Coturnix japonica: one gene and its partner. The protein of the gene in region 1 purifies or fractionates together with the protein of each later gene. This does not show direct contact. Links are inferred from orthologs where the notes say so. Each region holds a gene or a part of one and is shown in the gene's direction. Other genes may lie near its edges.

The links. Proteins that work in one complex are often made in the same cells at the same time.
Region 2: the proteins of DNM1L (region 1) and LRRK2 purify together in Homo sapiens (co-immunoprecipitation; 6 studies listed by BioGRID and IntAct, with this or other methods). This does not show direct contact. The link is inferred for Coturnix japonica from reciprocal best matches to the Homo sapiens genes DNM1L and LRRK2.

What each region holds. Positions count from the first base shown.
Region 1 is NC_029516.1:53,515,181-53,522,110, forward strand, and holds the start of DNM1L (dynamin-1-like protein), read left to right. Parts: upstream 1-2,861; 5' UTR 2,862-3,021; coding exon 3,022-3,123; intron 3,124-6,930. UniProt on the Homo sapiens protein: Functions in mitochondrial and peroxisomal division.
Region 2 is NC_029516.1:13,505,988-13,511,278, reverse strand, and holds part of LRRK2 (leucine-rich repeat serine/threonine-protein kinase 2), read left to right. Parts: exon of another isoform or gene 1-2,850; coding exon of another isoform or gene 2,851-2,892; coding exon 2,893-2,999; intron 3,000-4,602; exon of another isoform or gene 4,603-4,792; intron 4,793-4,889; exon of another isoform or gene 4,890-5,091; intron 5,092-5,291. UniProt on the Homo sapiens protein: Serine/threonine-protein kinase which phosphorylates a broad range of proteins involved in multiple processes such as neuronal plasticity, innate immunity, autophagy, and vesicle trafficking.

The sequences.
Region 1 (6,930 bases):
ATCTACTTCATTGCATTGGAAATGATGGTGGCAACATTGGAATATCACAAATTTTGTGCCAGGAGGGTAACACGAAGAGCCTGAAGGGGACAGTTTCCAGGATCATATCACTGCCAATAACAGGAGGTGGTGTTACCACTATAAGCCAGTCAGAACAGTTCATGGAGAGCTGTCAAAATGGAGATTCCCCATGGAAACAGAAGTTCAAGATGCATTACTCAGTTGGTAAAAGGACGTGTGCTGTCTTTTGGGATGGGAAAAGGGTGATCCTTCTGGATTTCCTGGAACTCAGACAAACCATCAACTCTGACTACTACATTACAACACTGACTAAGCTGAAGGCTCAAACTTCCAGAGTCAGTCTGGGGAAGAAGATAGCTCTTCTCTTGCAACACCGTAACACCAGGTGCCATACCAGTATGAAAATCACGCTGTCAACCTTGGTTGGACTGTCCTACAACATCCACCATATAGTCCAGATTTGGCACCTTCTGACTTCCATCTGTTCAGGCCAATGAAAGATGGACTGTGTGGGCAACATTTTCCTACCAACTACACTGTCATAGCAGCTGTGAAACAGTGGGTCACTTCCACTGGTGAAGATTTTTATGAGCATGGCATGCAGGACCTTATTTATTGCCAGTGAAAATGTGGTGTAGCTCATGATGGTACCTATGTTGAAAAGTAGTATTTTGTATTGAGAATTTGCCAAGTTGACATTATCAAGGAATAATTTACAAAAATATTTTGCCATTACTTTTTGTGCAGTACTAAGTAGTATGGTGGTGTACACACTGCACATGTTACATTACATAATTGAAACTTTAAAATGTGGTTATCAAATATTTCTTCCTCTAGACAAAGATGACAGCAAGGAAATAACCTTTAATGTCATGGTAGCTTGTAGTTTTCTGGCATGAAGTCATTAAATAGCAGATGAGTGGTCTGCTCTTCTCTGCATGTCACTATAGAATCATAGAATCATAGAATTACCCATGTTGGAAAAGACCTTGAAGATCATCAAGTCCAACCGCAGCCTAACCATAGCACTCTAACTCTAACAGCCCTCTGCTAAATCATATCCCTGAGCACCACATCCAAACGCCTCTTAAGCACATCCAGGGATGGCGATTTGTCTGAGTTAAAGGAAGCAGCTGATGATGCAAAACAGTATAAGAAATTCACACAGTGGAGAAGGAGAATTGGAAATTCTGTTAATTTTGTTCTGACTTCAGACACGAAAACAAGCAAGCTTATAATGAAATTAGGACACAAGAATTTCAAAGCTGACACCAAATTGGTTTTCTTTGCAATATGAGTAATTAGATCATGAAATTTACTATTGCAGGATGTTGCTGCAGCCAAGAATTTTACTCCATGGCACACAGAAATATATTATATGGTATAATGCAAACAGAACAATCTGGTTTCAAGTAGCATCGATAAAACAGAAGGCACGTTGATCTGTCAGCTTCAGATTTTACAGACAAAATCAGATTTAATACACAGGACTGTGATCAGAAGATCTTATTACCATACTTTTATAATTTCCCCAGGAATCCTGGTGCTTAACGTACTCAGAAATGACATCCTGAGGTAGATTTATATCAGGTCAGATTCAGTGCGGCAGTTCCTGTTTTCTTATGTTAATTAACCTTTAGTAAAAACCAGTCTGTCTCTTATCAGATCTTTGAGTTTCTTGCCCTGTACAACATAAGCCTATTAAGGAAATTAGATAATTAAAGCTCAGGATGGTCACTGCTTGCCAAAATGATGATTGCTTTGGTGCAGTTGCTCTGGATTGAGGTAAATGCTGGCTTTGGTAAGTTGGTAATAGACACAACATTTTATAGCAAAGGTATTTCCAGAACCCACTTTTTAGCCAGAAATAGACAATGTGGTAAGATTTTCTTCCTTGGGTTTCCTAATCTTATTTAGTCTTATTTAGTCCGCTCTTCTTGTTTCTCTTCTGTTCATTAATTCATTTCATCCATTTAAGTTGTGTTTCTCCATGTGGGTATAGTGTCCTTGATGGTATTTTTTGACAGTTCTGCTGGGAAAGCTGAGTTATCTCTACACATTTTGGCAAATGATATTTTCACTGTGTTCTTAATGAAATATATTACACTGATTAAATTCTAAGAATAGCCATATTGGGATGGACTAAAGGTCAAGCACTGAGCGCTTGTGCACGACAGTCACCCTGTTTCCAACCACTAGTAGCTTAGAAACATCCAGATCTAGGTTTAATTTCCACATCCTTATGTATTTATATGCAATACACTGTGTTGTATGAGTTGAGTTGGGTTGTTCAGGCCTAGAAAGGTTGCGGGGTGACCTCATTGCAGCCTTTCAATACCTAAGGGAACTTACTCCCAGGAGGGGAGTAAACTCTTCGAAAGGGCTGACTAATAGCAAGGAACACAGGGAAATGGTTTTAAAGTTAAAAAGAGGGAAGATTAGGATTGATGTTAGGACGGGAAGTCTCTTCACTAGGAAGAGTCGGTTTAAGGCCTGGAAACAAGGTGCCCAGGGAGGTTTGTGGAATGCCCCGTCCTTGGAAGGTGTTCAAGACCAGGGGTTGGACGGGCCCTGCAAACCTGAATCTAGTAAAATGTGTCATGTTTGGTGGCGCCCTAGCCAGGCCAGGGGGGAATTGGGAACCTACATGAATCCTTGAAAGTCCCTTCCAACCCGGGTCATTCTGTGATTCTGTGTTAATGATCCTAATAGCTCTGAGAGCAATTGGTTTCAGCACACCTAAGCGAATGGACGATCTCCACAGGCCTTGGGCCCAGTGCGGCCGGCCCCATTCCTCACTACATGTCCCGTGGATCCCCGCGGCGCTCAGCCCGCACTGCCCGCTGGGGGCCGCGCCGTGCGCGGGGGCCGGCTCCAATGGCGGCAGGCGGAGGGGGCGGCTGACGGGAGCCGCTGCCCGTCGCGCCCATTCATCGCCGACGTCTTCCCCGGCTTTCTCTGTTCCCTCAGCCCCTCCGGGCTGTGTCCGCCTCCGCCGCCATGGAGGCTCTGATCCCGGTGATCAACAAGCTGCAAGATGTCTTCAACACGGTGGGGGCCGACATCATCCAGCTGCCGCAGATCGTGGTGGTGGGCACGCAGGTGAGGCGGGGCGGGACGAGGCGGCGGGTACGACCGGGCCGCACCGCCCCGGGTTAATGTCGGCTCGTCCCCTGCTCCTCTGGGGCCGCTGAGCCGCGGTCTCCGTTTCCAAGGGCACGGGGGGACGAGGGCGGCCGGGACGCCCTTAGCTGTGCCCGCGGCCCCCCCCGTTGGCGCTGGGAGTGCCCGTGCCACCGCCCTCCTTCCCCCGCCGGTTCTAACGGCCGCGGCGCTCCCCGGGGCAACCCCCCGGCCTACGGGCCGCTGAGCTGAAGGGATGGAGAGCAGAGGGACGGCACCTGCGGGTGTCGGCTGTGCTGAGGGGTCGCTGAGCTGTTGTGCCGCCTTTAGGACCTCTTTGTTGGCAGCCAAAGCGGCCTGTCTTGGCGTTACAGTGTGTCCCAGCCTGGTAACGCTGAGGGGCTGAACGAGCAGCTCCAGACCCTTCTGATGTATCCAAACGGGGCTCCAGACCCTTCTGATATATCCAAACGGGACTTCAGATCCTTCTGGTGTATCCAAACGGGACTCCAAACCCTTCTGGAGGACCCAGCGTCCAAACGGGACGCTGTTCCTCAGCATAACTTCCAGTCCAGAACGGTGGCGGTCATAGGAGAAGTGAAAATGAAACATTAAACACAACCAAAACTTGGCTTTAGTACATCACCTTCTTTCTTTTTATTTATTGAATATATGCCGTTACTTGACAATAGTAGGCTGACATCAAGAGAATTGTGCTAGATGCTCTGCAGCTGGGTATCGTTACATGGCTTTGAAGGCACCGACTGCAAGCTTATAGCTGAAGCATGGCATGGCTTTCCTCAAAGCCAGTTGTGGTGTGGTTGTAGGGTAGGCAGCTCTTCCTTTGCTTAACCACCATCAGTCAGCTGGTTCAGAGACTCTGTGTCAGCTGCCTTATAAAAGAGATCCACAACACCGGCGCTGAGGAGGAGACTTTGTACTGGTCAGTTATATCAGGTCCTTGGTTTCTGCTGATCGCAGGAGCCCTTTGCTGTGTAGAAACTTCCAATCTCATTATATTAACAATATAAACTGATTTTGTTGTTGTCAATGCTGTTTTTTTATTTCTCTATCAGAAGGGTGTAAAGCAGAGGTGTGATGTTTTTATACTTGAAATTCATGGAAATATGCCTTTCAGCTTCATTCCAATGTGCTGAAGTCTTTTGTAACGACCTTATCTTAGTTAACTTAGTTAACTTAAAAGTACATGGAGTACATAGGACTATTTTCGCATACAGAGGCTACTTTGGAAGTCATGCCTCCTAGTTTATTGTATTGGCCTACAGTGTCAGAGGTGGATGTAGGTGCTTTGGCAGTAGAGGTTGAACCTTCCCGTCAATATTCTGTTCATTACATTATGTTGCGGTGTAACAGATGGCAGCAGAGGGGCAGGCTGACTAAGTGGTGTCTGATATGGAAGCGCATATGAAACAAATGTGGGGAACTGAATTCCTCCGCAGAAAAAATGGCACTCGTTGTCATTCTTTGATGCTTGTTGAACCTTTATGGAGCCCAAACATTGGATGTGAGTGCAGTGAGGCAGTGGGTGGTGCATTTCAGCTGCGGTGACAGCGATGTGAAGGGCAAGCCATGTTCCACACATCCATGCACAGCTGTCACATCATGAAATGAAGACCGTCTCAGTCCGCTCATCCACACAGATCAGCAGATTACAAGCAGAGAATTGTGTGCAGACCTAAATATCAATTTCATTGCATTGGAAATGATGGTGGCAATGTTGGAATATCACAAATTTAGTGCTGGGTGGGTCCCATGAGTTCTCACACAGGATCAGAACGAACATCATATGCAGGTTTATCAGGTCCTGCTGAACCAATATGAGATGACTGTTTCCTGTATTGAATCATTATCAGTGACAGGACACGGTGTCAACACTAGGAACCGAAGTTCCAATGGCTGTCCATGGAGTGGTGATACAAACTTCTTCAATGGGAATTTAACAGGGCGCAGCCCTCAGTGGTTAAAGTGATGCACGTTGTCTTTTGGGATGGGAAAAGGGTAATCCTGGATTTCCTGAGACCTGGACAAACCATGAATTCTGACTCATAACAACACTGACTAAGCTGAAGCTTCAAACTTCCGTAGTCAGGCCAGGAAAGAAGACAGTGGAAATGAGTAGTCTGCCCTTCTGTATTAATACCCCTTTGGTGTTAAGACCTGTGAGTAAGGTATAGTGGTACTGTATCTTTTAGGAGACCAGCTTGAATGCCTTTATTTACCTCAGGAAAATATGTAGCAAATTGGATGGGAAACTGTAGCCAAATTTTGTTCTTTTGTTTAAGTCTCAGCTCCTGAAAAATATAATTGTCTTCATGGACGCAGTGACTCTGTAGTTATTTTCTGCAGTTATTTCATACTTAAGATTGTATTCGTTTAGTCCTTTCAATGTAGTTTATGGCAGCCCAGGTTTCTGGAGATGTCTCACATATGTCCTTAGGGCTGACGGTTTTGCTGCTGAGAATTGGCTTCCATGTGTTTTTGAAACCTGCCTTTTAACAGCGTTGTCCCTTAAGATATTTTTGGTTAAGTGCTGTGTGACTCCAAGCTTTCCCCCATAGTTGACTGTAAAAGTCATCTCTGTACCCTGGTATGGAATCTGCTAAGAAAACTGCCGATGATAGGACTTGCAGGGCACCCTTACACGGCCAACTATGTATTGCTATTTTAGGGTTTCGCTGTCCTTCCCAGTAGGTGTGCTGTTTTTCCTGATTCAGTGTTTCAGTTGCCACCTTACAGCTGTGTTGCTGAAATGTGAAGCAGTGTAGAGGCTGGGAATGCTACGCAAACCCTATTGTCCTTATGATGTCTTTGATATCGATACTTTGCTTTGTGGCAAGGGATATTGAGGTTGTATTGAGGTGCCTCAACCAAACACATTAATACTGAGCTAAAATGAGATGCAGGGAAGAAAACTGAGTTATGGCCTTTTATGTGTTAAGGAGGACACTCCTCACTAGGAGAGTGGTTAGGCCCTGGAACAGGCTGCCCAGGGAGGTTGTGGATGCCCCGTCCTTGGAGGTGTTCAAGACCAGGTTGGACGGGGCCCTGGGCAACCTGATCTAGTAAAGGTGTATGTTTGGTGGCCCTGCCAGGCAGGGGGGTTGGAACTACATGATCCTTGAGGTCCCTTCCAACCCGGGTCATTCTGTGATTCTGTGAAGGAGGTGTAGGTATTATAATAGAAATACCTACATGACAGAAGAGAGCGTGACTTTTAGATTAAACATCAACAGAATCAGTGCCTAGAGATGTGTGGAAGTGAATTCCCTATTTCTTTTTTCTCTTATTCTTTCTTTTTTTCTTTTTTTCCAGGTCTTTAATTCTTGGCATCTCTTTAGGGTTTCTACAAGTCACTGACCTAGATATGTACTAACTTTAGTGCTAGCTCTGTAACAAAGGAATTCTCCTAACACCAGCATTATTTTAGAAAGGAAAAAGTTGTGCTTTGCAGTGACGATTATAATAGAGACTTCATGATGAAATTGCATGAATAAGCAGCTGCAATTCACAAAGATATTTATAAAAGACCTTTCAAGTGGACATTTGTGAAGGCTGAGCAATAGTAAATGCTATTTTGGGACTTCCAGTGTGCAAGTGTATCTTATAGTGCTTAACATAGTTTGGTCTGTTGGATGCTGCCATCCAAACAAGCTGTTCCTTAAGACTATGATTGACCCGTGGATGAGCATTACATTTTTATTTTGCATGCTTTCAATTTGTTACGTTTTTATTTTTGTGTTTTTATTTTATGCTGCACGGAACTAC
Region 2 (5,291 bases), about 40 Mb from region 1:
CTTCTTTGCATTACTCCATTGTACTAAGGCATCAAAACAAAGCTCAGAGGCAGCGCAGAGCTCCAATCTGCACAAAATGCCATGGGCAGCTCTTTCTTCATGTTCTATTATAGTATTTGCAAACACCCACAGTGTCTCAGCAGGGCTGCTTTCCTTGCTGCACCCATTGCAACCTTTGTGAATACAAAATCTTATGGCAGCAGCAAGAGGACGTGGCCCCAATTTCGTTGTAGTCTCTTCATACTGCTAATGAGTTTTCATTGAATAAATTGATTGACCCTTTTGGCATTGCGATAAAAGTGACTCACATAACAGAGTAAGCACAGTGAGAGCTGTATCTGAAATGAGGATTTTCTTTGCCATCCCATACTCACCAATTGCAAAGCACTGTGTGCTGTTGCTGTTCCACCAGCTTGTACAGAGTCAATTTGCTTAACAGCTCAATATTTCAGGTGTCAGTGCAAGTCAGGCTATGGGCATAAGCCTTACTGCTCCTTTATAAGTAGAAAGAGACTGAGCTATAAGGTCAATACCACCATGAAGTAAAATAGACATCTTTTAAGTGAACGTGGCAGCTTCTTTATGCAATTCCTGGTTGACGCTGACTGGAGTGGGTTAGAAACTGTGGAGCGGAATTTGTACACACTTGAGGAAAGAGCAGCCAGCAGAGCTTTATTGTGTCACACAGAAGGGTGTGAGCTAATGTCATATCAATTCATTGCATGCTAGAAATGAAAAGGACTCAATTTAAAAATAACAAGAGTTTCAGTGCTGCTATCAGCTGTCTGTGTCTTAAAAGCTCAGATGCTTTTAAGAATATCTTTGTGTTCTGTGCTTTTTTCTGTCCCCTGTAACCTTTAGTGTTTCTGTTATTTAAAAAATCTCTGCTTGCTTATGGAACTGTAAATTGATAATGAGCTCTTTGTTATCTCAGACTGTGATTTTAATATTGTAAAACTGACCACATATCATTGGGTCACATGTTTGCTTCTGACTTCCCTGACTACACAGTCCTTACGAATGTTTGGCACACTTGGAGTCACAATAATGCAAGTAAAAGCGATCAATAGAAACATCAATATTACAGTCCATTTTAGTACAAAAGTTACTTCTGTAAAGTCACTGTGCTAATTTTCATTGGGTTCTAAGTTTAGCAGTTCCTATGGCAGAAAGTGGTATTTCAGAATCTTTTTTCAGTAGTCTACAGGGTATCAATTAATGGTCACCTCTGCAATGTATTTGTCTTGCAGATTTGATATTTGTTGCTTTGAACATGGAAAATTAGATGATATATAACCCCATATTGGGGAGCTTTGGTGGATGCTATTCTTCAAAAGTTGATTGAGACTCCGTCACACAGCCTAGACTAGTTCACAGTATCACAGTCTCGTGCGGGTTGGAAGGGACCTTAGAGATCATCATGCCAACCCCCTAATTTTCCTGACTGTCCACAGTAATTGGTTTACACTTCAACACGGAACAACTCAGCTCACTGCCTAAGCAAGGGAAAAGCATGACAACTGACTCATGGTTAAGCTCAAATTGCAAGTTTGAGCTGAAGAGTTAAATCGCCTTAAAATATTTGGCTCTGCAAATGTGCACTACAACAAAAGCAAAGCTACTGCAGACAGCGTGAACGTGGTGCCTGTGACCTATGAAGTATTCTCAGAATTCTCTTGCCTTGGGAGCTACATCACCTTTTTCATAGACGTGCCAAAGCGGTCATGAAAGCTGCCAAGTTTGTAGTCTGTGCTGCTTGTGTCTCTTGTCTTTCATGCTGCAGGATTAGAGATCACAGAATCTCTGTGAACTCTGCAGTTATACAGTTAGACTCCACAGAAAAGCCCGCTTACTTTCCTGTTTTTGGTAGCTGTCTTGTCTTGACCTTCTCTTGACTTTATATAGCTCTCCTGCTGAAATCTGGTTTAATTGTGCTTATTGTTTTTGAGCTATACCTAAATTATAGCATCATAGAATGGCTTGGGTTGGAAGGATCATCGTGTTCCAACCCCCCTGCCACAGGGATTGTTGTCTCCTATTTAAACCCTATTTTTACAGCGCACAGTTCTACTTCCACTTTTTGTTCTTTTTTTCTTTCTTTTTTTAACATGGCCAGGAATGCTTTGTTTCCATTCCTATACGTGAAATCTATTTTGTCTTGAACTTTTGACATTTCTCAGCTCTCTTCCTCTCTTCCAGTACAGCGGGGTTTTCTTGTTCATCAGCTAATTATTTTGTTGCATGGATTTTGCTCAGTGCTATCGTCCACATGTTCAGTTTTATCAGCTTGAAGGCTGATATGCCCAGCATGCTGTCATAATGATAAAGACCATTGTTCCACTATCAGCGAACAGATTTCTCCAGCATGGACAACCAAAGAGGAGCATTTTATTTCAGCTTATTTATCTTGTTTATTTCCAGCATTCTTTTCTGCTATTTGAAAGTCCAGGCACTTGACTTAGAGTGACAGTTTCCAAAACTGAATACATCTTTTCTCCTCATCATTTGCAATTAAGCATCAAATTCTTATGGTGAGTGCTGTGCTTCAGTGAAGCTGGAACAGCTGCAATAGTCCAGTGATCTTTAGAGGCCCATGATGGAATACCAGGGATCTCCTGTCTTATTTTTCTCTCTCAGCATCTCTTGTGTGTGTGTTCTCTAGCCTCAAGGTGGTGTGTTGTTCCAGGTGATGCACTGAGAATCATTAGCGTGTTTTACTTTCAGCTCTTAATTTTTTGTGTCCTTTGTCTTGTCTTGTGTTAATGAAACACCTCTCATTTAGCTAGGTATCTTTTCAGAACATGTATCTTCTGAAAGCCGGGGTATTAAAACACAACGCTGGGGTTCCAAATGGAGTATCTGTTCTACAATAACTGTATTATTATTTTACAGATGGGTTGGTCACTTCTTTGCAAACTGATAGAAATTTGTCCAAGCACTCTACAGAACATTGCTCTTAAGGACGTTGGGAAGGACTGGGAAGTACTGGGTGTTCACCAGTAAGTATGTTGTATGCAAAGAGTCTTTCAAAGTGTTTTATATCACGGCAACATAAATATGCAATAGGGTGCATTTATGTAAAGTTATTACATCAGCTTCTATATAAAGATTTTTATGGATTTCTTCAGGTTTTACAATAAAAGACTCACACAAACAGGGATCTTGTCTGTCTGTGTGCATAAATTACCTGATGGGGGGAATAAAGAAAACCGAGCCTCCTCTCTGAGATGTGCCCAGTGATGGGACCAGAAGCATTAGGCACAAAATGAAATAGAGAAAATTCCTCTTAAACATTAAAAAACCCAATCAGTTATTTTTTAATACTTTGGGATTGATCAGACACTGAAAAGGGTTTCTCAGAGAGGCTATAAAGTCCGAAGCCTTGCAGATATTCAGAACCTGACTGTCCACGGCTCTGCACAATCAGCTGTAATCGACCCTGTGCCAGGGATGGGAGCTGAATTAAGAGATCTTCTGAGCTCCTCGCCAGTTTCAGTGATTCTGGGATGCTGTGGCTCTGAAGATGTTTTATTTTAATAGACAGTATCACCTGGACAGTTTTGTGTGTGTGTTATTCACAAGTATGATGTGTTATATCCACAAGTCTCAAGTGGTATAGATCAAGACAGGGTGTTTCTTGCACCTGATCATGGTTGTCTGAAAATAAAGTGTTTAAAGTAGTCACCTCAATTACCTATGAAGTCAAAGGACACAGTTAACCTTCAGAAGATGATTCTTTCCATCGTTGCAGTGAGCAATGCTAAAGCAAGGCATGCTTGATTTGAACATGCCCATATCTCTCCATTGTCTGCTGAGGGAGCCTAACCAAAAGTGGCTGTGTTTAGATGAGATGAAGACTGGCAAAGGTTTACTGAAGTTGTTCCATAACACAAACGCTGGCTGCAAGTATAATACAAATGGGAGAGAAGGGCTTGGTCTGGTGTGCTCTCACTTTGACAGGTTGCCTTGTTCAGATAAAGACAGGAAGGAGCTACAGCCCTACGACTCTACGAGTAAATCTTTCTCTGCTTTTACAGTCTTCACCATACCCTTCCTTAGAAAGGCTGCTATTGTCATGTCACTTACATGAAGTTGTGGTACGTCTGTTGTGGTTTGTGTTTTTTTTTAATGGTGGCTAGAGTACAAAGTCAGCAGGGGCATGAACTGCCTTGTTTTTGTTGGAAAGCACAAGGGATTTTTTATTGCTTTTCATGAACAATAAATAACTGAGGTGAAGCTGTACCAGCTAGTTAAGATTTCTTTGTCAGGCTTGTTAATTAAATTATTCTGGGTGGTACAGTGTTTATCTCCTGTTCCTCAGAAAATTACTCTGGTTTTCAGCTGCTGTTTCATTCACAGTCTCGTGTTGTGAGTTATACATCCACACCTGTTGAGAATTAAGCACCACAAAGCCACCCACTCACTCTTTCCAGTAGGACTGGGAAGAGAAGCAGAGGGACAAAAGCGAGAGAACTCATCATTTGAGATAAAGACATCGCAATAAGTAAAAGAGTAAAAAATTAATAAAACAAAGGAAATGGCATAAAAGCAATAATTTACCACCAGTCCACCAATGCCCAGCCTGTCCGCAAGCAACAGCAATTCTTTGCAAACTTCCCCCAGTTTTATTGTTGAACATGACATTACATGGTGTGGGGCATCTCTTCGGTCAGTTCAGGAGAGCTGCTCTGGCTGCATTTCCTCCCACTGTATTGTCCACAGCTGAGTACCGAGCAAGGTGAAGAAATCTTCATGCTACTGTTTCTGCGTGGGTATGCATGTACACTCACGCCTGAAAATTGACAATAAAATGCATTAGGAAAGCTTAAGACTACAACATTTTAATCAGGAGGTTAAGGAACCGCATTTATGGGTGTTAGTTACTCTACCAGCTTGATTAGGGTGGTTCCTTGTTTTTGTTGATTCATCACCCAGATACTCAGTCCGTCCACTAGAGCTGTATACTTGGCCAAGAATTTGCTTCAGGACTGAAGTGCCAGTATCCAAAGTGTGCATACAGAAACGTCAGGGAGGAATCTGTTTAGAATTTGATAGGGTAGAATTCTCCAGGATGCTGTTCAAATCCCTTTGCTGAGAAATAAAAAATCCTTCATCATTCACTGTAATTTCACCCTTGCAACAAACAGAACACTGCCGTACCATCTACAGCCTGCTGCACCCCACTGCCCTGCTTTGTGTGGGATAGTTCTGTTCTGGATAACACTTGTCTCCTGTAAAATTAATAGAAGTATACACAATTAAAAGTTAAATGACTTCAAAAACTGCTGCTA